4 linked regions of the Lytechinus pictus genome follow. The protein of the gene in region 2 binds, or shares a complex with, the protein of the main gene of each other region. Links are inferred from orthologs where the notes say so. Each region holds a gene or a part of one and is shown on either strand. Other genes may lie near its edges.

Region 1 (8,011 bases), on a different chromosome or scaffold from region 2:
ACACATGGGCGCCAAAAATCAGGTCAAATTTGGGCCCCCCTCCCCACAAAATCTTGGATCCGCGCCTGCATGAGACATGTATATCCTATGACTATTTCTACTGAAATCCTTGCATTTGATTGGCTAATAGCAAAATTGTCAGGGAAAATCCAACTTCATGAAATGCTGCCGAGGCGATCAAAAGGAGACACAAAAGGTTTTATTAGTTTCTACAAAGAAAAACAAGGGGTTAAAATAATAAAAGGGGGGGAATAGAAAAAATATAACAATCACGAGTAGGATCACTTAAAAAATATCGCTAAATAAAGAAGGGAAACCATATTCAATAATAATAACAAAAGAAAAACAGATACAACGTTGCCACAGACATGACAGAGAAGGGGCGTGTGTCCGTTGTTCCCCCAACATAGATTCACGTGAATTTCTCGGAAGAAAACAAAACGAGTCATGAAAATAAACATATTTTTTTCAAAATGATAGAAAAAGAAATTCCTGAACAAATCATGTTGTTGTTTGATCAATTAAAATGCAAAAAGGGATAAGTTTGATTACACTTCTCTTCTTTTCACTTAAAAAAGATAATCTTTTGCATCCCCCCTCTAATTGCCGCAAATTATATTTCATAATAGGTAAGGCCTATACTTTAATGAAAATGCACCTGGGTCGAGTGCAGCACAATGTGGATAAATTTCTTGCTGAAGGTAATTACGCCATGGCTGGGATTCGAACCCACGACCCTCTGTTTCAAAGTCAGAAGACTTATCCACTGGGCCACAAATATTCTCAACAGTAACTTTTTATCAATTCCTCTTTAATTCCAAATTGAATATTTATTAGTAACCATTCGACAAACCAATCTATCAATATTGATCGATCAAAAAACCAAGCAAGCAAGCAATAAATGTACCGATAGTAGAACGTTATTTTATTCACGCTATGTAATTGAAGTTTAGATAATCATTTGTTTAACGCATGCATGCCCTCGAGCCGATCTTTGGCCTTCGTTATACACCTGTATCCGTAGGATGTACACAGTAGTTTAGTAATAATTGTATCATGTACATCAACATCAACAAGATCTTCTAGCCATTCACAAGCAATATTCTATATATATATATATATATATATATATATATATATATATATATAAAATTCTCCTGGCTATCATTTCGAGAGATAGGGGCCTATCAAAATCCAGAATTTATTCTTAAAATAACAATAGGCCTAAATATCCCGAAAGAGGTGGATTTGATAACAATTTTTTTTTTTTTTTTTTTTTTTGGGGGGGGATTTTTATCTTATTGATCGATTAAACATACCGAATCATTACACAAATGGACAAATCAAACCCGGACAATTATTTCCAGAGAGTAGAGTGTGCCAGAACAAGGACACTCTCTCAAATTTGCCAAGCAATGACGATCTAGACTGGATATAAGGAAACACTTCTTTAGCCAAAGGGTTGTCAACCAATGGAATAAAATCCCACAGTCCACAGTTGAGGCACCAACACTCCTGCAATTTAAGACACCATTATCAAAATTGGGTTTTTAAATGGGCTCTAAGAGCTAGCCTCCTTAAAACCATGCCACACTCATCTGTACACGGCTCGTCGTGAAGACAGTGAGATGTGGCCATCTAGGTAACTTCAAGGTAACTTCAAGGTAAACCACATTGTTTCAGTTGACAAGACCCAATAAATAAGAAAATTTACAATTAAATATTTCCAAGGTGTCATTTTCTATATAAATTTTGTACCGAGTCCGGAATCTGCTATTTGGGTCCGGTGTTGCCCAACGATTGCAAAACTGTTTCTGGAGCATAATTATGAATTCCATAAAATATTTGGGTCTTTGTGAAACTTTTCAAGGAAAAGTATACGTACATGTAAATGTCATTTTCTGAGCAAGTGCAAATGCTTGGAGATCGATCATTTTGAGTCATCCTTGATTGTAGTCATAGTAATTAAAATATATTTGGACTCTATCTCTGCCAACACACCAAATGAATAGATAAACTGGGGCGGTATTCTGAAAACGTTCTTATCTTAATTTTGTTCTTATCTACGTCACGTTCTCAAATTGGTATTCTGAAAACGTTCTTATCTTTTTCTTATCTTTTGTTCTTATCTTTTTCTTATCTTGCTTTCCATCGATGCTGAGCGCGTAAATTTATAATTCGCGCATATGATACAAAAGCGCGCTAAAAGATAAGAACAAAATAAAGATAAGTGGTATTCTGAAAACGTTCTTATCTTTTATCTTTCTTATCTCTTTACGATATTTATGATAATATTTAAGATAGCTAGAGGGTTATCACATCTCAGGATGTCCGCGTTCTTTCTTTCTCAAAATCGATGGCCACTGGTAGTAACAAGTATTCTTTCCACCCTTTCTTTAATTCACCCTTTATTTTGCCCGTCTCTTTTTCTATCTCTTATTTCTTTCTGTATTTATTTTCTCATTTTCTTCATTTCTGTTTGTCTCTCTTTCTTCCTTTCTTTCATTGTTTATTTATATCTCTTGTTTTATTCTTTTGAATCTTTTCTTTTCTTCCTTATTTTTCTTTGTTTTCCTTTTTTCCTTTACTAAGTCTTTATTTTCCCCCCTCTTTCTTCTTTTCTTTCTTCCCCCTTTTTTTCCTTCCTTCACTTTATTTTTTTTTCATTATCTTTTTTATTTCTTCATTCTTTTTCTTTCTTTCATTCATTCTTTCGTCTTTATATTTGTTTTATTTATTCATTTTGTTTGTTCCTTTTTTCTTCCTTCCCTTAATTTTTTATTTTTTCCTTATTTTTCTTTGTTTCTCCTTCTCTTATCATCTTTTCTTGTTATTTTTTATTCTTTTTTTTCTTTATTCTTTCCATCAATCTTAATTCGTTTCTTTTTTTTTCATTCATTCTTTATTTTTCCCGCCTTTTTATTTTCCTTTTTCGTTCTTTTTCTTTATTGCTTTACCGTTCGTTCCTTCAATCTTTCTTTAGTCTTTATTTTATCTTTAATTATCCTTTCATCTTTTCTCTTTCTTCCTTTTTTCTTTCTTTCTCTCCGAGTCTCTCTCTCTCTCTCTTTCTTTATTTCTGGTCTATTTTCCTTTTTTCTCTCTTCCTTTACTTTTTACAGTTTTTTAATTCCTTCCTTTTTCTTTTGATTACTTTCTTTCATTCGTTTTTTTTTTCTATTTCTCTTAAGGTTATTGTATTCTTTCATTTTATCCTTTGTAATCTTTTTATTTTGTCCCTTTTGGTTTTTTTTTTGTAAAGTTTCTTTCTTTTTCCTTCTTTATTTTCTTTCATTTTTTATTCCTCTTTTTATCATTAATAATCGTTCTATTCATTCCTCCTTTTTCTTTCTTTTATTCATTCTTTATTCTTTCTTTCTTTTCTTTTTTTTTAAAGTTCTTTTTGCTTGCTTTCTTTTGTTTACCTTTTCTTTTTTTCATTGTTTTCTGCTTTGTTCCTTTCATATTTTTTTATTTGTGCTTCATTCTGACCCTTTACTGTCTTCTTTTTTTTTAATTTTTTATTCGTATTTGCTTTATTTACCTTTTTTCTTTAATTTGTTTCTTTATTTTGTGCACGTGTCTCGAAATAATAATCAGTCATTGCGTATAAAATGCCTATTTCGCGCAATGTGCCACAAACAGTGTACGCGCAGCGCCCATGATATTCTCTTCACACAAGGAACGCTTCTATTGGTTAAACTTACAATATAACACGCATTTTGATTGGTAATATCCTAAAAATGGGCGTGTTGAAGATAAGAAGGAGGCAGTCCTTACAGAGATAAGAACGCGTTAAGAAGATTTTCAGAATAATACCAACGAACGTAGAGGGCAGCAACACACAAGCGTGTTGCTCTAAGGAAGGTCAACTCCGCTCGAATTTTGTGACCACTTTAAAAAATAAGGTGGGGTTTTGGGAAATTTGTCGAGTTGATTTTTTTTCATTTGTTAATTTCAAATATTTTTTAATGAACAATTATTAGATTGGTTATTCTGGGTATAAATATTAAAAATATTACTTACATTTTTAAAGAAAATATTTAGCTTAAATAATCATGATTTTGACATTTTTCCTCATTTTGGAATATTAAGCCTGTGACGAGGATACCTCATATCTCTTATTTTCTTCTGCTGAATTTCGCTGCACCACTAATAAATGCATAGACAACCACCGTAATAATCGAGGTCATTTTTCTGGCCTGGGTGCGCCCAGTCTGGGCCGGTCGCGCAGCTAGCTAGTGACGTTGATGATGCGCTGGGGCTTCAGGCGACTCGTCATAGATCTAGCAACTTAGACAATGACATCTAATTTGCCTGGCCTGATTTGAAGTGTAATGGCTTCAGGGCTGATGTTTATCAACGATGATTGTTCAAGGTTAGATTTCAAATTTTAAATGTCATTTGACTTTTAAGTCTATAAATCTGAAATAAAGGCGCTGTATCCCCGAAATCCGGGTCTAAATTTCAACTCTGAGTCCGAGACCATGGCATGGACGGCGAAAAAACAACCCATGCATCGGATGCATTGCATTGGCTGCGCGCTGCGCTGCAGCTGCACTGTGATGATGGGTTCAGCGAAGAGCTCAGAGAAAATAAGGTGGTTATATTCAATCCCGAAATGCTTTGCGAGTGGTCACAAAATCGTCTCGACGCAAATCACCTAATACAGCCGTCTGGTGAAATCGCTGATAACAACAATCACCGATTTGGTAATGATTTTAGTTTCTTGAAACTTATATTTGTAAAGTTTTAAATATCAAAGTATGTTTTTATATGTATGTATATTCCTCAACATATTTTTTAAGTTATCTTTGATACGTTGTAGTCATATTCTTTCATATTCGTTTTTTGATCGCTACTAATTTGTTGTTGTATTGGATCGGCATTTGATTTCGTAGGCATGAACAATAAAATACGCGCGCAGCTCAGCTGCATGCGCGTATCGAGTTGACCTTCCTTATAGCAACACGCTTGTGTGTTGCTGCCCTCTACGTTCGTTGGTGAATACCGATTTGCAATGATTTTAGCGTCTTCTTATCTCATTGAGATAAGAACAAAGATAAGAACAAAGATAAGAACGTTTTCAGAATACCACCCCAGATGTATAATAATACTAGATATATTATTTGGAATTTTCACACTGAGTATACAAAATAACATAATCTGTACAAACGCGAACGGCGATGGCGCTTTTGTACTTGTCAAAGAAAAGATGGCGACTTCCACGCAGAATGCGAAAAGACCCCTCGTCGATGCAAGCTATGATGACGATAGTGATGATGATTACGGTATCTATTCTTTGAGTTTATCATCTTTATTTTTTATATTTAATTTAAAAAAAAATTCACCAATAGTATCATTCATATCCTCGGAAAGCCATTATTAATTTAACGTTTAGATTCACTTTGGTCCCACTCCATTATTTTTCAAGTTGGCTAGTGCAGCTGTTCACATTGCAATTGAATTGGGCGCTAATGCAGTTTCGCACCACTCTAGAGTCTAGGCAATTTGCCTATTTAATTTCGTGTTGAGAAAGTGAGTCAAACGGGTGTGAGTTTGGTCGTTAAATGCCAGCCAAGTCCTCTAAATTTCGGTCTTACTTCTTCTTTGACTGTCTGTCATATTATTAATTATTATTATATTAATCTACGATTATGAATTATGATATTGATAATTGATATAAAATCGGTAGGCCTACTCGCCATTTCTTTTTTTGAAAAATTTGGTGATTTCATCCCCTCTTCTGGCCAACTCTCGCGACGGCTGTTGTCGCAATAGGGTCATGTACATGCAAATCCAAGGCGAGTTGTCACCTGACGCTCGCGAGTCTCTACTCTAGTCTAGGCTTATTGGCCTTTATTATTTTTTTGTCATAATTTTACAATGATGCTTATAAATATTGAAATCTGTAGACGAGTCTGTGCAGGGGCATAACAGGGGTATATATTAAGAGGGGACACAGCACATGCCCTGGTGGAAAATAAAAGTTATGTAATGTAACTTGTAAGTCCACAGTGAGCAAATAGAGCAAGAAAAAGATTTTCATGAGAATCTAACTTTGAGTTTGAGATAGATTTTGACAACGTTCTTACATTTTTTACATGCATGTGACCAACTTGTGATGAAATATACTTTTTCTTTATTTCATTCAACAGTTCCGTCTAAGATTCCAAAGCAACAAAGAGAAGACAAGAGCAGAAGTTGCCCCTATCTGGACACCATAAACAGGTGTGAACTACAAAAGGAAACACGGCTGGAGTGACAAAACTTTGGTTTAAGAAAAGTCAAAGATATGGCCTGCATAGCTCTGTTATCCTTTGGATAGTCTTCCCATTGACATTGTGTATATATAATGAATTTATATTCAGATAGAGATGGGGCAGCATCACTTGCTACATTACATGTACATGTAACTGTGTCATGCTATTGATATAGAAAGAAAATGATTTATTTCACCTTTGTGACAAAAGAGTGAATTGATACACTAACTTGGACTCATTTCACTAAATGCCAAATTCCTATTTTATCTAACAACATTTAGTCACAATCATGAATCGAGACAATTGTCTTTCCGTTGATGCCCACAATCAAAGTGTTGATTATTATGGCAAGGTGAAAAAAGTTGACTTGACCTTGTCTGCGATATCCTACTTTACTGTTAAAACATGTGATTTTTTTTTCTTCAAGGAAGAATAACAGAAAGTGAATGAAGAATGAAGTGTAAAATGAAACTGTGTTGTATATATGTAGTCCCTGGTAGAGCTATATAAAGTATTTATAAAAATGAAAGGTAATAAACAAGGACTTGCAATCTAACATAGTAAATGTAAAAATATGTTTTACAGGGTGAGTCCTAATGTGTGCTTTTTATTTTCACAGTGTTGAATTTGTTATTTCTGTCATACAGGAGCTTGTTGGATTTTGATTTTGAGAAGCTCTGTTCAGTCTCCTTGTCTCATTTGAATGTGTATGCCTGCCTTGTTTGTGGAAAATACTTCCAAGGTAAGAAAACCCATATTTTATCTGTATTTTTACTGTTTTAAAACCTTAGTTATCTCTTTAGATTAAAAAAACAATGTAGTTTAGAAAAATTAATCTACATTTTAGTGTAACACGCGGAAACTGATGTAGAAAGATGACACACGACACCATTCCTTGTGTTTCGGTTCGTTTAATATCGATGAATCGTTACATACAAAATTCAAAGTACAAGAACAAAAGATAGAAAAAACCTGTAAAAACCAATAAGAACAAAACCATTAAATAGAATTATATGTTTAAAAAAATGCACAGAATAGAAATATACACATATTTGCTTGTGACTCTAAGATAAACATTCATCAATATGACGTCAAGTGGACTCGTAATAATAAATGATAAACATGTTTTCTATATCCATTCATTAAACTTAATCAATATTGCCTGAATCCAACTCATCTAATCACAAATTCAGTTCCTCCATCGTTATGGATAACTCTTCCAACAAATAAATGAAATACATCCATCAAGTGAAATTTACCAAACAATAATTAGAATATGCCAACAAATTAACATTGAAATACAGTGGTTAATGAATGATAACCACTCACCCTGACAATCTGGCCTAGAGGACCATATTTCCTCTGGTGAGAGCCTCACCCGCTACACGAATGTCATGTCAAATACCTTTAAAAGGAAAGTAACAATTATTACACATAGTAAGCAATCATTGTGACCCTTTACTCTGAAGACACAAAACTGAAACATTGAATTAACAATTCAATAACCAAAATCAATTTAACCAAAATCTTTCACTCTAAAGATCATTTTACTAAATCGTTTCACTATAAGATTAGAACCGAACACATTTTATGTTTACAACTACATACTACAATCAAGTATACAAGTACAAGTAATTATACAAAATATAACAAAATGACATAAAAATCATCTGAAGTAACAAACACAGATGCATAACTAATAAACTATTTAATTCACAAAACCCCTTTAAAATAAGACGGATAACATG
Region 2 (7,242 bases):
ACTGTATGCTATAGCGGTAGGCCTACATACAGTCATGACTATGCAATCTTTGTGTGTGTGTATTTGTGTAGATTAACAAAAAGGGCGCATGACGAATTGGCTTGCAATTTGAACTGTAGAAAGTTGATAAATGCGTGCAAAATCGGGAGAAAAATTGCGCTCCTTTGAAAATTATTGGTTGCCCGATTCAGGCCACCAAAACTTAACATTTTTTTAATGATGGTTGCCCGAGGTGAATTTCTGGTGGCCCCGGGCCACTGCTAATGTCGAGCCTTGGATAAGTAATACAGTGTGCACTGTCTAACAATCAAAACAACTGGAAGGAGGAAATAAGATCAGTTGTCGGATTTGCCGTTAACGGAAAGTAGAGGCTTAAAAATTATTTTAGTGCCTCATACTTGTTTTCCAACCTTTCTTCAGACCACTTGCACTCTGCAACCACCCTGTCTTTGGTGAGTCTATGCAACATACAAACACACAAAAAAAAGTCTTTAAAATATCACTTTTGTAAAAAACAACACCCAGTTCCATTCAGTTATGATTTTTTCATTATAGACTTACAGTGTAGGAACCATTTTTTTATTCACCAGAGCGCTCAAAAACTTAAATTTTGAGTATATTTTTGTGACGACCTCTTTTGGTGAAAAACTGAAATTGATGCAGATCTCCATCTCCACAGTCTCTTTTTTAATGGCAAAAAGAAGCTGCTGAAAACTGCTTATCTAATAAAAGAGAGCCAATGGAGTAAATTAGAAAGTCAAAAGGGGCCTAAGCTTTCGATCCTAGCAGAATCTTCGTCAGAGGCAAAATGATGCTCATTTTGCCTTCGACGAAGATTCTGCTATGATCGAAAGCTTAGGCCCCTTTTGACTTTCTAGTCTCTTTTTTAATTAGAAAAAATTAATTTCAAGAATTCAATTGAGTTTTGGGCCAAAAAATAAAGTATTTATTCATTCCAGATCAAGAGAAAAAAAAGCAAAACATTGACAATCTTATTCATGTAATTTCACCACACAGTGGTTTCTGAGGACAAGGTTATCATAACCTTGTACATGGGATAAATGCTCGTAATCAGTTCTAAAATCGACAAGAAAATTAGCCTACCTGAAAAAGCTCTGGATGCCCTGACTCGATGACCTCACTTTAACCATCTCCTTGTGCTTATCAGAAGAAATGTGTCGAAGGCATGTCATTTCTTCCTCAAAACTTTATAGATACATCGACCAAGCAAACTGAGCAAAAAGCATGATACTCTCCTCTCTTTGATCTTGTCACACAGTCCCATTCCACTTGAAAATTATCTTTATACTTCGAAAAGTATTTTGTATTCTTGGTCTTGGATGACTCCATCTCCATGGTCACTGACGATGCGATTGTAGTGTGGATGAATCGGGACGGGCGTGCTTCGCACAGCCAGCCAGCGCCAGGCCAGCTCACTCACGAAAGAGAAAATGTTCGAATCCGATCAACCCAAGTGAAAGTAGGCGAAAAATTCTCAACTTTGCTTCTGTTCTTCAGGATTGTCAATAAAGTGAAAGTCGGGGTGTAGTTATAATAGTAATCCACTTGTAAATCCCATCGTTGATCCACAGTTTCAGCTCGAATAAAGCGCACACAAGCGTATGAAAAATGCCTCGCAGTGCTCGTGGACTTCCCTTCTCATAGCCTCCTGGCGCGGCGCGGCCGGCTGGAGACCAGGCAGGGTCGCATCGGGGGGCATGTGCATGGAGTGCCGCTGAAGTGTTTCCATCACACACATTGCAGAACCAGAAAAAAAATGGCAAGTTAGACTAATTCACCAGTCGTTCAGTAAAGTTATCTTCATTTACATTGGAAGTCAATGTACGAGTATACAAAAACTGGTAAAATTTACTGGGTAAAATGAAAATGTGATAAGGAGGATCCACGTGGGTGTAAGGGAGTTGAAAATGCTAGACTCGTAAAACAGTCGTTTGTATGAATTTTACAATTTAACAGCTAAAAATCCTGATTATCCCGGAGATTTTGGCATGGGGTCGGGAGAATGGGAGATTGGATGGCAATCCAGTATTCTTCCGCAGGATCCGGGAGACTCGGAAGCTCTGGATTACACATGAGGGCTCGCACTAACGTACTACCGTCGGTGAATGGGGATGATAGTAAAATGTCAGAAATTGTTAAATAAATCCCCAGAAACGACGGTTATTCCTGTCTAACCACTGGCGTGCTTAAAGGTATTGTTTAACTTTGTGAGCAGCCGATTTAAAAAATTCTCAAACCAAGATGATACATGTGTACAAGTGCATGTATTAGAACTAATAAACCCTGAAAACAACCATTATTGAGAATGAAAAGCTAGAACTACAAGGCAAACCCCGATTTTGTAAATAGGCGTCTTATAGACGCCTAAATAGTACACATAAGTGTATGGGATGAAATTAAGATGGTGTTTTCGGTCACTTTATATTTCAATTTTTGAAGCATTTTTTTTCTGGGCTTCATTTTTGTAACATATCACAGACACAGGTGACAAGTGTGACCTTCTAGCTCAGATTTTTTTAAAGTCTCGCGATCGTGCAGCCGCCATTAGGGGGTCAACAATACCAAAAAAAATAAAACGGGGGTTTTCGATTTTTGTCTTTATTTCATAAAAATATATAAAAAGAACTGGACCAAAATAAAGATTAATATTCCATTTTGGCCTTAAATGCACCAAAATGGAAAAAATAAACCTAACAGGAAAAAAACAGTGACCTACTTCGGCTGTCGCGCAACTCCCACTTCCCTGGTTTATCCGAACTTTATACATAAACATATGGCCATTGAGTCCCTGTACAGATAAAGTTAGAACTTCAGTCTCTGTAATTGGTGAGTGGAGCCAACAAAGTTCAGCAGAACATTCAATAAAACAGAGACTGAAGCTTTTGGTCTAGGATACCATTGCACTTACACGCACCGAGTAAAATACTTGCATCGGCCGATAAATATCATAAATCTTACCTCAGTCCTAGATCCCACTTCAACTGGTCTAGCGTGAGGAATATTTTAGCATTATTGGTGGCAAAATACTTGGTGCGTGTAGTGCAATGGCATCCCGTCCCTGGCTTCATGGAGATTAAGCACGTCATTGGTATGACTTCAATCTCCAGGAGCCTCCTGGCCTGGGGGTGGGGGGTTCAAGAGTATATTGGCAGTATTGCTTTGTGTGGATATGTGTAGATCTAAAAGTTAGATCAACAACTTCCGTTTGAATGGACGATTCAACCCCATCCAGCAGAACATGGATTCGAATGAAAAGAGACAAATCTAATGTCTACAAAAGTAAAAACCCTGAATATTTCATCAAAACCGAATGTAGAATAAGAACGTTGTGATGATTTTAGATTTCACTTGAAGTTTCACTTCAAGATCACAAAACAGTTGTACTACTGTAGAGTCTATGCATATCCACTCGCACTAGTGCAAGGTTAGTTACTATTCTAACCTTGCACAAAGAACCACGTTTGGCAGTGGATTTCTAAAGTTAGTGGGTCGTGCATGCTGCGACGTCACTTCTGGCGTGCACAACACACGACTTCTATGGCTTGATTTTTCTGTGCGCGGCGGCATGTAATGCAATGAACCCTTGAGTGATGCATATACTAGTCCTCATGCAATGAAGCACCCAGCAATGTCGTCCATTTAATATTTTTTTAATACATTATGAGCTCTAGTCTAGAGTCTATATAAAATATTTGTGAAATGTCTTCCTATTTTTCATCATTCGAGTTTCAAGATCTATGTGAAACACAACTTGATTTTCCCTGACAATCTGGGAATGCTTTTTTTACATTTTTTGTTGCAATGTTGTCTTTCATCATCAAGCGGCTTTTATGGCTAATCTGACATTCCTTATGATCTCAACAGCTCAAGAGTACATGTAAGTGTGGCAAAAAATTTGTCAAAGATGAAGTCTAGAGCTCAAACAAAATAAATTAATTTCTTCTGAAAATCTGAAACTGAAGTCTCTCATATTTTTTAAATTGAAAAACATTGAAGCCCCATATCTGCTGAACCATTCATTTTATACACAATTCAGAGGATTTGATGAGGGAGACTGTAATGGATGCCTTTACAAGTTTACATGTTTCTGAAATGCCTTTTAAAATTTTTCACTATTTTATCTCTGTAACCTATTGCAGATGTAAAATTTTTGGTCATTACGTGTCTGATTAGAAAAAAAAATCTCCTTTCTTTTTTTATTAAGATATGTTAAAGCCCTTGCTGGAAGACTCGGCTGAGAGGTTTGTGGAGACCCTATTTGCAGATGTAGCAGGTTTTCAAGGTGGAAGTAAAGCTTCAAAGAGAACCAGTAAAGATGATGATGGATATGAGGGACACAAGAAGCGTTCTAAATTCTCTCACTTTCCCGGTGAAGACGAGAATGGAGTCAAGGTAACAATAAGCTGTGGGAAACAATACATTCCTTAAATTTACCTTATAATTTTTGTTACGTGATTACCATATTTTACATGTATGTTACTGGGGGATTTTTTAACATTCTATTCAAATGAAGTCCTGAATATGACTGTAAACCAGATTAGATGAGCTGAATATGGCTTGAGTAGCGATGGTTTGAGTAGTAGCAGGTTGAAGTGAAGAGAGGTTACTCGACGTTTCGGGCAGGTTGACTGTCCATCTTCAGGAGTCTTCACTTCAACCTGCTACTACTCAAACCATCAATACTCAAGCCATATTCAGCTCATCTCATCTAGTTTACAGTCCTTTTTCAGGACTTTACTCACTTTCAAGAAAAGATTACCTCTAATTTCCTCTTTTCATCCTTTCTCGTCTTTCCATTTAAATTTTCTGCCTGTATTTCCTCTCCCTTCTTCATATTAAACATTGTGAACCGTAAGCCTTCTCCACATTATAAACTCCACCATGCAAACCTACTTCTTTTTTATTCTTTATTTGATTCTAATCTAATCTAATTTAATATAATTTAATATAATTTGTTGTCATCTTCAACAACTGTATAGTTGTATTTTACTATTTTGTATTACATGTATGTTATCTTTGTAAAGTCACATGGATTGGAAGACCTTCGGGTTATAGTTATTTAGTTAATCTTTTTCCTTTCCCGGCATCCATGTGACTCTCCTTATCCTATTGTTTGTATATGTTGTTTATGTGTTTGATTATAATAATAATTTTAAAAAAAAGATCATCTGCCTGCTTCATTAGTTCAATAAATTAATATTTTCCCTGATGAATTTTTACAGTAGAAGTAGGCTATAAAATAGTGATGTTTCAGTTTGCTAAAGGGCATCAGCTTAAATTAAGAAGGTTGTTCTTCTGAGCATGATACCTCATGAAAAATCGTTACAAAATTGAGAAAGTGCCGCCCAAAACACAATTTTGGTCCCATGGGACCACTCCTCATTTAAAACGTGTATGTTATAATTTTTTTGACATATTTTGTAACATTTTTAGCAATAAATCCAGCTTAGCTATGCAACATAAGATAACATCATATTTTACCATTGTGCAAATTTTTTTGTCATGGTCACATGATTTGAGACCAAGATCTTAGGGGGCATAATAAGGACTCAAAATAACCTGGGATTATTAGACTTAAGTCCTGCTATATTACTAAAGTAAGGAAAGTACTTGGAACTAATTAAATGAATGTATTTTACCTGACACAGTTTTCAAAGAGTCAGCCCGAGGCTCTGAGAAATGATGCTCTGGAGAAAGCCAAGAAAGCTGCTGAGATACAAGCACGCATACAGGCAACTATGATGAGTGCTGGGTTAGGTGGTTTGAAACTACCACCTATGCCTGGAATACCACAAGCACCTGCAATACCTAAAGTACCAGCTCCTAAAGAAGATACCAGTCAGACTAAACCACCACCAGCTGTTCTCACTAAGTGAGCAAACAATAATTATCAATAGCTTTCTCTCATATTGAATGATTCTGTATTTTTCTGTTTTAGATTAAAAATAAATCATATCTCAAACAATCCTTTGTTTACCCCTCCTCCCAGGGCCCTGGGAACGATTTTGTAAGTGGAGGTGCTGATGTAAGTTTGAAAAGTAAAAAAAAAAAAGTTTCTCTACAAAATGGAAGTCACAAAAAATTAAGTTAATTTTGGTTACATTTTTCAATTTTTACACATCTCTCAGAATACCTTAGGGTGCTGCCTGTGGAGAATAATACACACAGCACCCCCAAGGAAAATGTTGGGGGTGCTTCAGTAACCCTGCTTCCCAGGGCCATGCCCTCTCCCCCTTGAATGATAATAAGCTCAAAGTGATAAAACATTTTCTGATCCTCTCAAAGAGATTCTGGTTATTCATATTAATTATTCTTTTTTCTTTTTTTGTGTGCTTAGACCAGCACCATTGATTCTTGATGATCAAGGTAGAACAATTGATAAATCAGGACGTGTTATCATACTACCGCAACACAGACCAACAATTAAGGTAAAGCTTCCACAATTTACGTTTTATCTTTGATACATAGAATGTACAACTTGATGAGAAGGGTAATGTTGTTTTTATTTTATGTACATGTATGTGGTAGGCTTGTCAAATGAAATGAAACATCGTGCAGAGAGTTTTAAAGATATGTGAAGATATGTTATATATATTTCAGTCTATTCAATTGAATAAAGTTTAATAAGAAAAGTAATTGAAAAGGGGGGAACACAATGTAAGCTACATGTATGCTTGATTATTCTGATTTTCTTCTGGAGGAAAAAAAATCATGTTAAGAGCAATGATGACTTTATTACTCATAATCAGAAGAAGAGTAAAATGATTTTTGTATTTTTCCACTTTCAACAAAGGATAAATAATTTATTACTTTAGAGTTTGGATACCTGTAGGGACAGTCATTTTCCATTATACTGGTAAATAAAAAGGAAATTCCATTTTGTTCTTACACTTTTTATGTAAAAATTCATGGAATTTAGGTTTTTGCTGTATACATTTTCAGTGACAAAACTGAATTTCCATTTTTAGATCAAGTTGAAACGGAATTACAGATTTTCAGACATGGAAAATACCATTTTTTAAAATGGAAATTCACTGTCTCTATACCTTTCATTATCATTCAAATAGACTCTTGCATGTTTTAAAGGATGAAAATGTTTTAGACTGTGAAATAGTGAATGTGAATAGAAGTTTTTTGTGCATTCTTAAAATAAAATTATATTACTTTTCTTGTCCCATTTATACTGTCCAATGTGAAGGCTAACATCAGAGCCAAACGGAG
Region 3 (7,937 bases), on a different chromosome or scaffold from region 2:
GGTAAAGTATTGATATATCATTGTGGATCTAGATCAGGTACAGTTACATACACTGAACTTTGTGAAATCATAATATCTAGCTAAAAAACGATCACACTGAAGATCGCCAACACAGATAGGCACACGTGGGACAGTGTATTATTATTGCTGGAATAAAGACCCGACAGAAGTGACCGAATCTGCGCTTATTTTGCTTATTTCTCAGCAATTACACAATTTCTTCCAGAATCCTTTGGCACATATTTTTTATTCATACAAACAGACACTTTGGTGATCATTATATTAAATTCTGTAAAAAGTCATTTTGAGATCGTTCCCACAACTGGAATTTATCTTTAATTTTAGCATGAAAATTTAATCTTAGTATTACCATTATCACCATCATTTGATTAGTCAGAAAACACATGTAAGTAGAGAGAAAAGGATACATCATCTTCAAGTCAGCCACACGAAATATCCTAAGTTTATTTGCATTGAATTCATATTCATTTTCATCAATCAAATTAGTTATAAGAGTGAGTTTTACTCAAATTGTCACAGTCTAGCAAGTAAGCAATGCTACAACTTAACATTTTCCAGTTATGTATTTTTGTTGGAATGTATTTTTTGTCAGTTGTCTCAGTCTGTTTACACGTGTACATGCTCTTAGAAATGCCATGCGACCTTTTTTATATTGATTTATGTTTTCTCACTCAACTAGTAATATCATAGCTAGTTTTATTTTCTTCCTCATTTTCTATTTTAGTACAATGGTCGTGAAAATTGTATTCAATACATGAAATGTAATGTAAATTTACTGTTGTGTATTCATTCTCCACTCTGTATATCTTGTTTGTAAATGAATCTCAAATTTGATAGTGATATGTATATAGTGGTATAAACCTTGGTTGAAATAATGAATTTTAACACTACAGTGGCAGATTTCAATGTATAGAATTTATTATAAAAGAATTTTTCATTAATTGCAAGCTTGAAACACCTTGATATTGAAAATATATAATTATATCAGTCTGTAAAGAAGTAATAGCATGTGATCTTTTTTCTTCTTTTTTTTTACTATCTGATAGCAGGTCATTTTTCTGATTTATTTCATTACCTCTATATGCATTTAGATGTTTTTGCACTATTTTTCAAATTGACAATTTCTAAATCATCTACTTTGAGATCATATTTGTAAAAAAAAAAGTCCTGTATTTAATTTGATACATCTTTTGTGAATTTGTGGATGCAGACAACCGGCCAACTTACCCTATTTCTCAGAAAAAGAATTGGTGAATGAGCAAGGACAAGTCATGAAATCTAATGTTTTAGGAGGAATAAATGACCAGTATAGAGTGTGATCAGATTGGTATGAAAATGCGTCCTGTTGTATGAATTGATAAAATTCTCGATTAAAATCATTTCTGTAGAAATGATCAATAGAATGATTTGATGAATATCACATGGAATACATGCTTGTCTTCTTTGTCTTGCTTCTGTTGTAACGGTGTGTTGTATTCCCTTGAGGGTAGGGAGGGGGAGAAAGGGGAACAAATAGAGAGATCGAGGATATCAGGAAAGGCGAGAAAGGGTCAGGGAAGAGAGAGGAAGGAAGGGAGAAGAAAAAATATTAGGGTTGCCAACTCTCGCTCATTTAGAGTGAGAGTCACTCGTTTTCGTCCATTCTCTCTCTAAAATTGTGTTCCATTTCCGTCCATTTCTACTGATCTTACTCATTTTGACACTTAAGTTATATACTTTGCCTACGGGAGTCTAGCTCACTCTCAACTAATTTTCAAATTTTATGGCACCGCTGAAATATAGTGGGAGAGTAAAATAGAGAGAGATAACAAATAGATGGGAAGGAATAAAAAGAGAGGATACGATCTAGAATTAGAGTCATAGTTAATATTTTTTAATGAAATATGTTGTGCATTCACAAGTGTGCCCCCCCCCCCCACCCTGTAAGAATCAACAGCAATTATTTTAATGGGGATATAAATGTCATTCATTCGTACACAAGTGCGGACCTTTTTTTAATTTTTGCCTGTCAAATTTTCCTTGGGGAAAATGCCCTACTCGATCCTCTTGGAAGATCCTAAATCCACCCCTGTGTTACTCAAGTGTTCCCAGAAGTTATTTATTTTTCTTTTTTTTAATGGGTGGACAGTAGCGTATGCAGGATTTTTGAAAAGGGGGGGGGTTCAAGCTGAATGAAATGCTGATAACCCGCCCCCCCCCCCCCCCCGAAGGGGAGTCTTCACCACAAGTCGTTTCCTACCCCCTCCAAAAAATTGACAAGCAAGGTTTGAATTCTAAGGGATGGGTAGATGGGTATAAAAAAAATTGAAGGGGGGGGTTGAACACCTGTAACTCACCCCACCCATCCCCCCCCCCCCCCCCCCCCCCCCCCTGTGGGTAGATCATTTTGCCTAGCTACCACACGAGGGGAAAAAAGGAGGGAGCACGTCTGATTTTGAAGAGGTCGAGCGCCATCTACGTCCCAGCCTGCCTGATCATATCATCATTGTTAATGTAGCAACAATTTTCACAAGTCAATAGTCATAAAAAGACTTGAAGAGGGAACTTATCGCTTTTCCGTGTCCAAACTTTGACTGTGTAACCTGTAAGTAACTATCATGTTGTAAATTTATTTAAATTATAGGGTGAGTGTTAAACTACAATGTGTGCCATTTATTTCATTAAATTTGAGAGTATTACACTGTTGAAAAAATATTAAGCCCAACCGCAGGACTCGACTTCTTCAATCAGAGCTGAGCCGCAGCACAGCGGGCCTGCTTAGCGGTAACTGCTGCCAGAGCCCCGCTATTCAGGCAGGCCCAGTCGCCAGAGACGGCACTGAGGCTGAGCTGCGTTGCGGAGCTCGAGTCGAGATTCGATCCACTCAAGGGTTCATGACATGCCGCTTAGCCAGGAGGCTTCTCGAGAGTAAAATTCATTTACTAATGTATGCTTACTCTCTACGAAGCCAGGGATTCCATTCATCTGCATGCATGTATTGTAGATCTAGGTTTTTTACCGCCAAAAAACCTGAATTCCTGAAACTTTCGCCCCCGAGATTTCTAGTTTTTCTACTCTTAGTCTTAATCATTCCACTCACGCTAGCGCTATGGACGGTATATGAGTAGTGCGAGGTTAGTAATAGATCTATACTAACTTTCATTTTAACGCGTGCGTCAGTAACGTTGGGGAAGAACAATAGGAAACAAGATGGCGGCGTAAACATCGGGCAAGTCTCCTCCGTCTTTTCATATTTCATAAATCGATAGCGTAGAAATGTCGGAAATGAAGTTGTATCCCATTTCATGATTAGGTCTAACAAAGTTAGATCTTTTTATAGAATGAAACTATAAATCTCGGGGGCGAAAGTTTTTTGGCGGCATGCAGATGAATAGGATGGAATCCCTGGCTTCGTAGAGAGTAAGCATACGTTTGTAAATAATTTTTACTCTCTAGAACTAGTAGAAGCCTCCTGGCTAATGCCGCTGGGCACGGGAAAATCTAGGCATGCCGCATGCAACTTCCATGGCATGCGATTGCATGAAATTATGAAATCTAAAATCATCAAATTGTTCCATTTCACTTACTGATCGACGAAAGTCCCTTTGGTGACCTCTCTTAGCACCCTGTTCCTCATATTTTCTTGCTCTTGACGTAACTGCCTGTCCAACGGCAACAACATCAATTTTTGGCCTAAAGAGGGCGCACGATTTATATTCATATCAAAGACACGACATGGGAAAGACCACTCACACATATTGCGAGGTTAGTATTAGTATACTACTGGGGAAAGACTAGGCACCGGTGCCTAGTCTTAAAGGACAAGTCCACCCCAACAAAAACTTGATTTGAATAAAAAGAAAAAAATCCAACAAGCATAACACTGAAAATTTCATCAAAATCGGATGTAAAATAAGAAAGTTATGACATTTTAAAGTTTCGCTTCATTTCACAAAACAGTTATATGCACATCTCGGTCCGTATGCAAATGAGGGAACTGATGACATAACTCACTCACTATTTCTTTTGTATTTTATTATATGAAATATGAAATATTTTGATTTTCTCATCATTGTCATGTGAAATGAAGTTTCATTCCTCCCTGAACACGTTGAATTCCATTATTTTAACATTTTGTGCTTCAGGCAAGGAGGTCCTAATCATCAAATTCGTAAAAATTGAAATATTGTATAATTCAAACAATAAAAAACAAAAGAAATAGTGAGTGAGTGACATCACCGACTCTCTCATTTGGATGTAACTGGCTCGTTCATATAACTATTTTGTTAAAAATAAGCGAAACTTTAAAATGTCATAACTTTCTTATTTTACATCCGATTTTGATGAAATTTTCAGCATTGTGCTTGTCTGATTTTTCTCTATTGATTCAAATCAACATTTTTCTGAGGTGGACTTGACCTTTAAGGTGTGCACCTTAACTATTTTACACGCAAATCGACGCAAAGCATTACGCGAAGTCCTTGAAGTGTCTAATCTTTTCATTGTATAGGTCTAGACTTTGGGAGACCGTATTATTGACAAACGAACAAAGCTTGTACAGCTGGTTTCGATTAAAGGTACATAGATTTTTTTCTATTTTTAAATTAGTCGTTCTAGATTATTTGCTAAAAAGTGTAATCTTTTAAAATATTTTCTTGATATTTCCCTTGCAGGTCTTCCAAGCATATCTTCTTCTCGATGACACCTGCTTCAGAGATCAGATTTTGATCTGAAGGAAGTTCTATCATCAGATAAACCTGAGCTAGCAGCTTCACATGTTTTGACTTCTTGGTAATTTGCAGGGGGGTTTACTCTCCTGAATTTCTTGATAATCTGAAGACAGACGTCTTTACTCCTGTTATCAACTGTGGCTGTTCACCCCTCAAAAATCATATTTTCTATCTCTCTCTGAAGCAGTCGCTGTGTTCGCAACTGAACCGTTGTGGGGGTTTACTCTCCTCAATCTCTTTGCATTCTGAAGAAAATAAGACGACCACTAAGCCAAGATGTCTTACATGCTTAGCCATCTCCACAACGGCTGGCAGGTCGACCAGGCCATCCTAGGTGAGGAGGATCGCGTCGTCGTCATCCGCTTCGGTCACGACTGGGACCCGACGTGTATGAAGATGGACGAGACGTTGTACCGGATCTGCGACAAGGTGAAAAACTTTGCTGTGGTGTACCTTGTTGACATCACAAAAGTGCCTGATTTTAACAAGATGTACGAGTTGTACGACCCGTGCACGATGATGTTCTTCTTCAGGAACAAGCATATAATGATAGATCTGGGTACCGGTAACAATAATAAGATCAACTGGGCTATAGACGATGAACAGGAGGTTATTGATATTGTGGAGACAGTGTACAGGGGCGCGAGGAAAGGACGTGGTTTGGTGGTGTCACCCAAAGACTACTCTACCAAATACCGTTATTAATGTCCTCTACCGCATCTCTGTTGCCAACAGTTTGGATTTGTGGATGGCAGCGATTGAGGACACGTTGGTTTGGAAATGAATACTGGCAAGTGCCATGCCTTTACGAAACATCATTCCTCAAACATTTTCTTATTTTTTCAGCTACACCAGAACTGCAAAGCTTTGGTAAATTTGTTGATTTATGTTGTATAGTAGGGTTGCGGGCTATCACATATTGAATCAAATGTACAGTTTACAGTATCGCAACGATCACCTGGGGAGTAGTTCATCAACATTTTCGTCCGACAAGTTGTCGGATCCGACAACTTTCCTTGGTTATGATCGTAAGAGAGGCACTGTTAACATAGTAACTGTCGGATAAATCAGTACTTGTCTGATAAAACGTCTTACAAGTCCTTTCGAATGATGAAACGCTCCCCAGGTTTTATCTCAAGATACACTGCAGTACATTCTCCATATTTGACCTTCAATAAGTCAAGTAAGCCTATTAAACTCCAGAAATTTCAAACCAGGGTGGTGTTTCATAAAGTTACGCACAACTTTACGCACGACTGAAACATGTTCCTTGGTGCTTAATCAGTTACATGTGGATAGTGTAGCACAAGAAAGGTCACCAGTTGTGCGTAAAGTCATTCGTAACTAACAAACAGCTTTATGAAATGGGCTCCTGAATATGAAAAATATGTCTCTCCTGTGTTAAGTGCAACAGATTTCTGTGTTACCAAGACACTTGACTTGGGTAGTGTCACCTGTGTATCGTTCAGCTTTAATTATGTGTCGGACATTGTTTGCATTTATGTACATGTAGTATGTTTAAGTTTATGGCACTCCTGGGCCTGCTGTAGTACAAAGGTTAGCGATTAATCGCTAACTTGAAAGATTGGTTCCTAGTCAGTCTACCGAGCAAAATTGCGCATGCAACGATGGTCTTGATTGGTAATTTCATGTACATGTAGCTATTAATCGCTAACTTGTGTTACAGGGGCCCGTTTCATAAAGCTGTTCATAAGACTTTACACACGACTGGTGACCCCTTCTTGCGCTAAATGAACGGATTTTATAGCGCCTAAGAACGTGTTCCAGTCATGCATAAAGTTGTGCATAACTTTACGAACAGCTTTATAAAACGGCCCAGATATCATCAGGTACATGTAATATTGGATGGGGAAGTATTATAGTTTATTAGAGGCTTGACACTTTTATGTAGTTCCCCTTGGACCCTGGTGATCTTTATTTTCTACATGAGGGAGATTTGTTCATTTTGTTGTTAAAATCATATCAAGTTTCAAAACTTACAATATTTTTCTGAAGAGTTATTGTTAACCAGATTGTTCATTCACTGAAGTCAACATTGTCACAATTTTATGACACCATGCCACCTTTAATCCAAGCCACCGATTGGATGTCGTGAAAGACATTATGAAAATATGAGAGAGGACATATTTTTGATAAGCCAAAGGGGGAGGGGGTGTAAAGCTCTTTAATAGTTATGGACAACGTCAACTTTATAAAGTTCTGGAACATATTTTTGTGCTACATGTACATGTACCCAAACATTTTCTTTGTGTTCAACAAAGTGGGACTGACTTTCCAATTACTGAATACATGTCAGTATTAAAAGGCCATTATTTGACACAAGTGCAACCCCCTCCCCCCCCCTCCCAGTATTTCAGATACCCGGAGAATAGCAGTTAATATTACAACTTTTTTTTTTCTTTGATTTTATTTGGTCATGATTAATTGATTCAGAAGTCACAACTGTGTAAATGTACATTGAACTTGTTAACATGAATGTTCTTTATATACATTGTAGTAAATATGGAAACAGAAAACCAAAAAAAAAATGACTGAATGTTCATGTGTAATCTGAGTTGGTCATACATGTAGGTAATTTATAATGTGATTGTGGCTTTAATCTTGAAGAGAGATGAATACATATGGAGAAAAGAAAGTGCAAGAAAGACAGCAAGAGAGAAAAATCAGTATAAAAAAGAAAGGGGGGAGGTTGGCTGATAGAAAAAAGAAAGAAGAAAAGTGAACAGTAAGGAACAGATCATGAGAACAGAATGGTGAATGTTAAAAGCTTGCTGGAAATGTTTCATAAAGACTTGTTATAATAACAAATGCATGCTTTCTATAACAAGTTTACTCTCGGCCAATGAAATTGAATGATAATCATAGAATCAGCTCATTTTAATCGCTTTTAACTTAGTCACAGGGCCCAGGAAAGAAGGTAAAAAAAGATGGAAAGCTACCAGATGAGGAGGGATCTGGGGCCCATCTCACAAAGAGTCGTAATTAATCTGATAAATCTCAAATATGGAAATCCATCAATGTCATAATTCTTCAAGCAGAGCAGCACACATATTTGTGAGGCAGCGGCTCGCCTCTATAACAGATTGTCAAGGTTTTTGGATTCCTGGCTTTCCATATCAATCACAACTCTTTGAAAGATGGAGCCCATGAAAGATGGAGAAAATGGGCAGTGGAAAATTGGAAGAA
Region 4 (7,471 bases), about 7.1 Mb from region 2:
GTTTTCAGGCCTTGGCCTTGGGTTGCCATGTCATGGCCTTGGTTGGGGATTGAAGCCTTGGCCTTGGGTATTATATTAAAGCATTGGCCTTGGCTTGGAGGTTTGAGCCAACGAACGTAGAGGGCAGCAACACACAAGCGTGTTGCTATAAGGAAGGTCAACTCGATACGCGCATGCAGCTGAGCTGCGCGCGTATTTTATTGTTCATGCCAACGAAATCAAATGCCGATCCAATACAACAACAAATTAGTAGCGATCAAAAAACGAATATGAAAGAATATGACTACAACAATATCAAAGATAACTTAAAAAATATGTTGAGGAATATACATACATATAAAAACATACTTTGATATTTAAAACTTTACAAATATAAGTTTCAAGAAACTAAAATCATTACCAAATCGGTGATTGTTGTTATCAGCGATTTCACCAGACGGCTGTATTAGGTGATTTGCGTCGAGACGATTTTGTGACCACTCGCAAAGCATTTCGGGATTGAATATAACCACCTTATTTTCTCTGAGCTCTTCGCTGAACCCATCATCACAGTGCAGCTGCAGCGCAGCGCGCAGCCAATACAATGCATCCGATGCATGGGTTGTTTTTTCGCCGTCCATGCCATGGTCTCGGACTCAGAGTTGAAATTTAGACCCGGATTTCGGGGATACAGCGCCTTTATTTCAGATTTATAGACTTAAAAGTCAAATGACATTTAAAATTTGAAATCTAACCTTGAACAATCATCGTTGATAAACATCAGCCCTGAAGCCATTACACTTCAAATCAGGCCAGGCAAATTAGATGTCATTGTCTAAGTTGCTAGATCTATGACGAGTCGCCTGAAGCCCCAGCGCATCATCAACGTCACTAGCTAGCTGCGCGACCGGCCCAGACTCGGCGCACCCAGGCCAGAAAAATGACCTCGATTATTACGGTGGTTGTCTATGCATTTATTAGTGGTGCAGCGAAATTCAGCAGAAGAAAATAAGAGATATGAGGTATCCTCGTCACAGGCTTAATATTCCAAAATGAGGAAAAATGTCAAAATCATGATTATTTAAGCTAAATATTTTCTTTAAAAATGAAAGTAATATTTTTAATATTTATACCCAGAATAACCGATCTAATAATTGTTCATTAAAAAATATTTGAAATTAACAAATGAAAAAAAATCAACTCGACAAATTTCCCAAAACACCACCTTATTTTTTAAAGTGGTCACAAAATTCGAGCGGAGTTGACCTTCCTTAGAGCAACACGCTTGTGTGTTGCTGCCCTCTACGTTCGTTGGTTTGAGCCTTGGCCCTTGGCTTGACTACAAGACACTGTCACTGGCCTATTCCATCCCGTCCCAGGCTCCATGGAGAGTAAGCCTACGTCAGTAAATGACTTTTACTCTCTAGGAGCTTCCAGGCTACCCAAAACATTGAGTCTACCCTCTTGCTACTAGTAGTCGCCGACGTATTATAGCTATGCCAGCTAGTATGGTTACCTTCCGGGCCCCGGCGGCGGCCGGCCCACTTGGCTTAATTCGCAGTCCGGAGCTCTCTGGGTTACAGACACGTTATATTGAGCTACCGTACCGTATGGGCACTAGTATTCAACCCGGCATAATTCAAAGATTTTTACAAATTCCCCCAAATATTTAGAAATAGGGAATTTATCTTAATTTCATACCTCTGTTATTTCCAGGGTAATCTGTTGTCGGTATTTTCTTTATCGATCTGTCGACTGTATGCGCGGAGGATCGAATTATGCGGCAATGACCTTTTGCACTGAATTGCACTAGTATTCAACCTAGTGATGATAGACAGCAAATTTAAAAATGGTTTAGACTGCAATACTAGATCTAGATCTATGTAAGTCTCTGGCTTTGACTAATTCCCTGTTCGGTCTCATCTCAAATGGTCTAGTCCTTAGTTGGATGGGACAAGGACAGATTGAGAGACAGGGCCATCTTTCGTTGCTAGGTTGAATACTAGTGCCAAAAACCATTGCCGTATAATTCGATCGCCCGCACACACAGTCGACTGGTTGAAAAAAAAAAAAAATAACGCAAAAAGAATAACCAGCATTTGGTCTTGGAAATAACACAGGTCTGAAATTAAGGTAGAATCCATATTTCTATATATTTGAGGAAACTCTCCAAACGGGTTGAATACTAGTGCCCTTACGATACCTTACTGAGCTGACTGAGCTGGCTGAGCAGAGCCTGAGGCCGAGCACTCATTCAATGAACAAGGTTATGATATAACCTTGTTCTCAGTTATATCTCCATGTGTGGCAAAATAAGGGTGGCAATGTTTGGCTTATTTTCTCTTTTTCTTTGGGACAAATGCTTGATTTTTTTACACTGACAGTTTCCATTACACTTATTCATCATACAACTTGGCCCTTAAGTAAATTTGATTCTTTACATTATTTTTTTCTTAATTAAAGATAAAAATAATTAGAGATAAAAAAAATATAATTTTCTTGCCATATTACTTTCCACCAATAGAGGGCGTACACAAAAATATGCCCAGAATTCAAGGTTTTGAGCGCCCTAGTGAATACAAAAATTATTCCCAAGTTACTAATGAAAAATAAATTGCAACTGTTTAGAAATTAGTAATTTTGGTCACAAAAGTGATATTTTAATGATTTTTTGAAGTGTGTGCTCTGTACATCATTGGCATGCCATAGACCTACGGTACCTGTACTGTAGATTCCCCACAGGCAGGGATGGTTGCAGTGAACAAGTGAGGCCGAGTAACTTTTTATTCTTCCTTTTTCTTCCTCCTCCAGACTATGTCCTCTTAACAGTCCTATGCCATAAAACTAAGGATTACCATAAAAATTGTCATTGATACTACATATTAGAAATCAGATTAATCATTATTAAAACTTACTGCCATGGATGTTGCTTGGGATCTTTCACCACGACTCTTATTTGTTAGCACCAAGTACAAAGATTCATGTTATAATTTATGCGAATTGCACCGTATATACCGTATACCGTACTGTACAATACCGATACCGTACTACCAACGAACGTAGAGGGCAGCAACCACTGATCTGCTGATCTCCAGAGTTATCAATAGACAGAGTGGCGACACGCGCACTGAAAACAGGATACGCGCGGTCAAAGGTCAGCCATGGGGGGCTGATTAGTTCCCTCTGCGCGCACATGCAATTATTTGGCAATCATCGCTATTATCATAATTGATTGTCGACAAACTAGCCTAGGTCCGGAAGAAATGATAATGAATCTAATGTAATTTCTTCTCTTTGGTTTAGAGCTTCATGATAGATCCCCCATTTTGGTTTGTCTGGCATTATCATTAATATTATTCTAGATGAATTCCACTTTTTTATTGAAAATTAATGTGATGAATTATAGAGACTTGATTTACTCACCGATGAATGAAAAATGGAAATAAAGAGGAAAATAGGCAAATAAGGAATATGGGAACACGAAAAATTAACAAGGTGATGCTGAAGACATAATGGACTGGAAAACTCGGGGGAAGGGGGCAGCAGGGTGACCAGATTTCACAAAATGAAATACGGGACAATCGACAAAATAATCAACATAGAAGGCTACACATGTACAGTGTTATACACTTGTGAAAAAAATATAAAGAATGGGAAGGAAGGGTGAACGAAAGAAATAAGGAGAGAAAGAAAATGCGAAAGAAGGAAAAGATATTAATTGAGAATAAAGAAAAAAAATAAAGGGGAAAATGAAGGAAAAAATAAAAAAAGTTAGAATAAAAGGATGAAAAAGAATAAAAGAGAGAAAAAAGGTTTCCGTCATTCTTTGAAATGAATATAGAAAGAAAGAAAAAGAAAGGGAGGGAAGATGAACAAAAATTAATGTGTGAAAGACGAAATAAAGGAGAGAAAGAAAAAAAAAAGTAAGAAAATTAAAGGAGCGGAAAGATAAATGTTTCCTTCATTCTTTGAAAGAAACAATAAAAGAAGAAAAACAGGAAGGGATCGGGAAGCTAGGGAAGGAAGGAAGAAGGATGAAAGGGAAAGAAAGAATAAGGGAAAGGAATAAGAAGGAAAAAAAAATAAAGAATGAAAGAATTGGGGAGAAAAGAGAGGGAAGAAAGAATGAAGGGATGAAAGAATAAAAAAAGAGAAAATAATGGAAGGAGAAAAAGAACGAAAAGAAAAAAGGAGAGAAATGGAGAAGGAAGCAAAGAACAGTTTAAAGAAAGAAAGAAGGAAATAATAACAAGGAAATTTGATAAAGAATGCAAATAAGAGAAAAAAGCAACGAAAGAAAAATGAACACACAGCGAGAGAAAGGATCATGAAAGAAAGATAAGAAATAAAGATAGATGGAACAAAAAAGTGTCAGCAGCGCGAAGGATAGAATAATGAAGAAAGAAGGATATAAAAGAAAGAAAAGGGAAAAATTCAAACTTCCAGCAAACAAAAACAACCATCTGACAAAAATAATAATTATATATGGTGTGTTTTTAATATAATTTTAAAAACTTTATAAAAAAAGAACTTGCAAAAGTTTAGTAATCGATTATCTATTGGTTATTTGATGAACATTCGTCACTTTTAAATGTATTAACTACATTTTGTTCAATATACTGAAATACGGGAAAAATAGACGTCCCGGGAGGGGTGGGCCGGACAAAGGAGCAAAATATGGGACCATCCCGGGAAATACGGGACGTCTGGTCACCCGGCCTGGGGGCAGTTTTCTTCTTCTGAATCACTGCATTGAAATTTTGTAATCACACCACCGGTATTGTACGTGGAAAATAATCAATTAAGGAGCAAAAAAAGTACAGTGATCACAAAATATAAAGGAAAAGCATATATTTTGACTTTTCAAATGATATGTTTTATTAAAAGTTAAAGCATAATTTAATATAGTCCCCTGACAAAATGGGCTATTGATCTGTGGTGATTTAGGGGGACGGGCCCAGGTGACAACTCCTAGCTTACACTATTTTCACTGCACTGACTGTCAATCAATAATGGAAATAGGAACATTGTACTCGGATCGAATTTCATGATCTCGAATAATTTCAACAATCCGAATATTTTTATGCAAAAATTTAACCAACCTTACCCTTTTTTATGTCACATTAAAATTAACCATTCATCTTGATGTTTTGTATAACGAAAAGGGGAATGTTAATGGTAAGTTATTTATTTTTTTATTGTTGTTTTCATTACTATTACTATTAATATGACGATCAATATTGTCACTATTAATTATTATCATTGAAATCAATATTTTTTGTTATGATCATTGTCATCGTTATAATTACCATCATCATCAGGGCGGCGAATATCCTGCTTTCTTTCTCTCTCTTCTTTTTTAAAGTATACATCCAAAGAATCAAAAGTATTTTATAATGACTTTATGTGGTCATCATTGTAAAGGGGAAGTATTACTAATCAGATATATAACTTCACTTTTCAAAATAGTGATCAGAGATTGCAGAAATCAGCTCTCAAAAATGATTTATTTTCATGCCATATTTCTGCCTTCCACCGGTCCTCTTGCGAGCTCCAGCTGAGTGACGTCACACAATGAGCAGTGAGCAGCTGAGCTGACAGCAGCCCATTGGAGACGATCTTTCCAATCAGCGTTTTTTGCTCTTAGAATTGTTTATTCCTCTTAAGATTGGTCTTGTTATATAGATAAAAGTTTGAATTTACTGAACAGTGGAAAAAAGTGCACATTTAACGTATTTTGGTGACCGATATTTAGCTTAGAATTTTTTTTTTTTTTCAAGAAATATAGGTGAATAAACAAAGCATATTTTCACGTAGAAATCACACTTGCGTCACATTAATATTATAGTCAATATAAAGCATAGACATTCTTCTTTATGACTGAACAAAAATTATGAAATTTCATTAAGTAGCAAAGTCAGGAATCACAAAAAAAACACGGCAATATCCATCGCGAAATGACTGAAATTGCAGTTGAATTGCCGAAGCATTATTAGGAAACAGCGGCGAGCGGACTTTCTTTCATATATCTTAAAAATGCCTTTCTGTTAGGGCGATGGTCTGTGGCCAAATGCGTTGGCCATTGTTTTGTCATGTGCGAGGACCCTGGTTCGAAACTCGGATTTTTTTTTCTGGGTATTTTTTTTTTATTCCTTCCCCGTCCCTACCCATCTTTTTTTTCTCTTTTTATTTTCTTGTGAAATTCTATTCAGACCTGTATTTATCAAATCTTGCTTCTTAATTGCTGCTTTTGATTTTCAAGTTCTTGATTAGATTATTTCTACTCTTATTTGGGATGGGAGGGGTAGAGTTAAAAGTCAAGTCCACATCAACTAAAAATTATTTGAATAGAGTGATTTCCCTTGTTGTTTTTACTCAAAACAGTCATATACACAAAACAATGATATGCAAATTAGAGTTGTCACTCACATCACATTCGTTTCTATTTTTTGTGGCATTTTGTTTTTTATTCTTTGCAGATTTGACGATAGGAAACTCTTCATCTGATCACAATAGGTTATATTTACGGAACTGTTAAAATAGTAATTATATAAATTTGAATCAAAGTTTTTATGAAATTTCCTGCAATATCTTGTTATTTTTCTTTAAATTCAAATGAATTTTTGATTGCGTGGACTTCTCCTTTACTCTTAATGTAGGGAATGCATAGCAAAATTTATCCAGAAACAAAATTGTCTTAGAATATGCAAATCAGTAATTGGACACATGTTCACTTTTCTTTCATCCAGGCCACTTCCTCACATCCACCAGGCTTTCAGTCTGATGATGAACCATCACACAACATTCACAGTGCTTCACAATAAATATTTCACTTCTGTTCATACATGCAATAAATATTGTGGAAAACAAATAAAAGGCGTACCCATATTCAAATACCGTTTAAAAGGACAAATATATTATACCTTTCGAGAAAAATCAGCACGTTAAATATCTGATAACAAAACATAATTATGGGGCACTGCAAGAAACTTATGTTAAATTGCAAATCAAGCGTAAGTCTTAAATTCAAATTCAAGCGTAATAAGGTCGAGTTGCAATCGCAATTCAACTACATGTTTAATCAAAGGACTTTCCCTTGATTTGGGACGTGTGATTGAGTATAACATTTCTCGCAAAATGCCCTAGTAACATTAAAATTGTTCTTTCGTTTTAAATTGTGTGTTATTATTTTTGACAAGCTGTATTCCTGTCCGAGTAAAATTTCTTAGTTCTCTCCAAAACTGTGCTCAAAATTGTTTCCAAGATTGATAAAGCAATTTTTTCTTTTGTATCATTATCATTCCACAACTTGCAAACCGTAGGTCCTGGAAAGAGTGAAGAAAAAAATGGCTATATCCAAATCATAGTAAAAGGACATGATGGAATCTCCCAGATTGAGGTAGCAAGCAGAGACCAGAAGTCACCAGAGTTAGCAATTGTGCAGATCTGTGTGTAGAAGAGAGAAAAAAAGAAATAGTTTAAATAATCAAAT

What was found.
Region 1: U4/U6 small nuclear ribonucleoprotein Prp3-like (region 2) and ubiquitin carboxyl-terminal hydrolase 39-like share a complex: the UniProt entries of both Homo sapiens proteins name them as parts of the U4/U6-U5 tri-snRNP complex. The link is inferred for Lytechinus pictus from reciprocal best matches to the Homo sapiens genes PRPF3 and USP39.
Region 3: U4/U6 small nuclear ribonucleoprotein Prp3-like (region 2) and thioredoxin-like protein 4A share a complex: the UniProt entries of both Homo sapiens proteins name them as parts of the precatalytic spliceosome. The link is inferred for Lytechinus pictus from reciprocal best matches to the Homo sapiens genes PRPF3 and TXNL4A.
Region 4: U4/U6 small nuclear ribonucleoprotein Prp3-like (region 2) and U6 snRNA-associated Sm-like protein LSm7 share a complex: the UniProt entries of both Homo sapiens proteins name them as parts of the precatalytic spliceosome. The link is inferred for Lytechinus pictus from reciprocal best matches to the Homo sapiens genes PRPF3 and LSM7.

What each region holds. Positions count from the first base shown.
Region 1 is NC_087262.1:12,999,784-13,007,794, reverse strand, and holds the start of ubiquitin carboxyl-terminal hydrolase 39-like, read left to right. Parts: upstream 1-4,995; 5' UTR 4,996-5,020; coding exon 5,021-5,291; intron 5,292-6,158; coding exon 6,159-6,231; intron 6,232-6,910; coding exon 6,911-7,005; intron 7,006-8,011.
Region 2 is NC_087247.1:68,145,470-68,152,711, reverse strand, and holds the start of U4/U6 small nuclear ribonucleoprotein Prp3-like, read left to right. Parts: upstream 1-4,222; 5' UTR 4,223-4,227; coding exon 4,228-4,413; intron 4,414-5,669; coding exon 5,670-5,893; intron 5,894-6,358; coding exon 6,359-6,449; intron 6,450-7,219; coding exon 7,220-7,242. UniProt on the Homo sapiens protein: Plays a role in pre-mRNA splicing as component of the U4/U6-U5 tri-snRNP complex that is involved in spliceosome assembly, and as component of the precatalytic spliceosome (spliceosome B complex).
Region 3 is NC_087253.1:7,931,366-7,939,302, reverse strand, and holds thioredoxin-like protein 4A, read left to right. Parts: upstream 1-4,915; 5' UTR 4,916-5,006; coding exon 5,007-5,435; 3' UTR 5,436-7,445; downstream 7,446-7,937. UniProt on the Homo sapiens protein: Plays a role in pre-mRNA splicing as component of the U5 snRNP and U4/U6-U5 tri-snRNP complexes that are involved in spliceosome assembly, and as component of the precatalytic spliceosome (spliceosome B complex).
Region 4 is NC_087247.1:61,093,420-61,100,890, reverse strand, and holds the start of U6 snRNA-associated Sm-like protein LSm7, read right to left. Parts: upstream 3,015-7,471; 5' UTR 2,901-3,014; coding exon 2,895-2,900; intron 1-2,894. UniProt on the Homo sapiens protein: Plays a role in pre-mRNA splicing as component of the U4/U6-U5 tri-snRNP complex that is involved in spliceosome assembly, and as component of the precatalytic spliceosome (spliceosome B complex).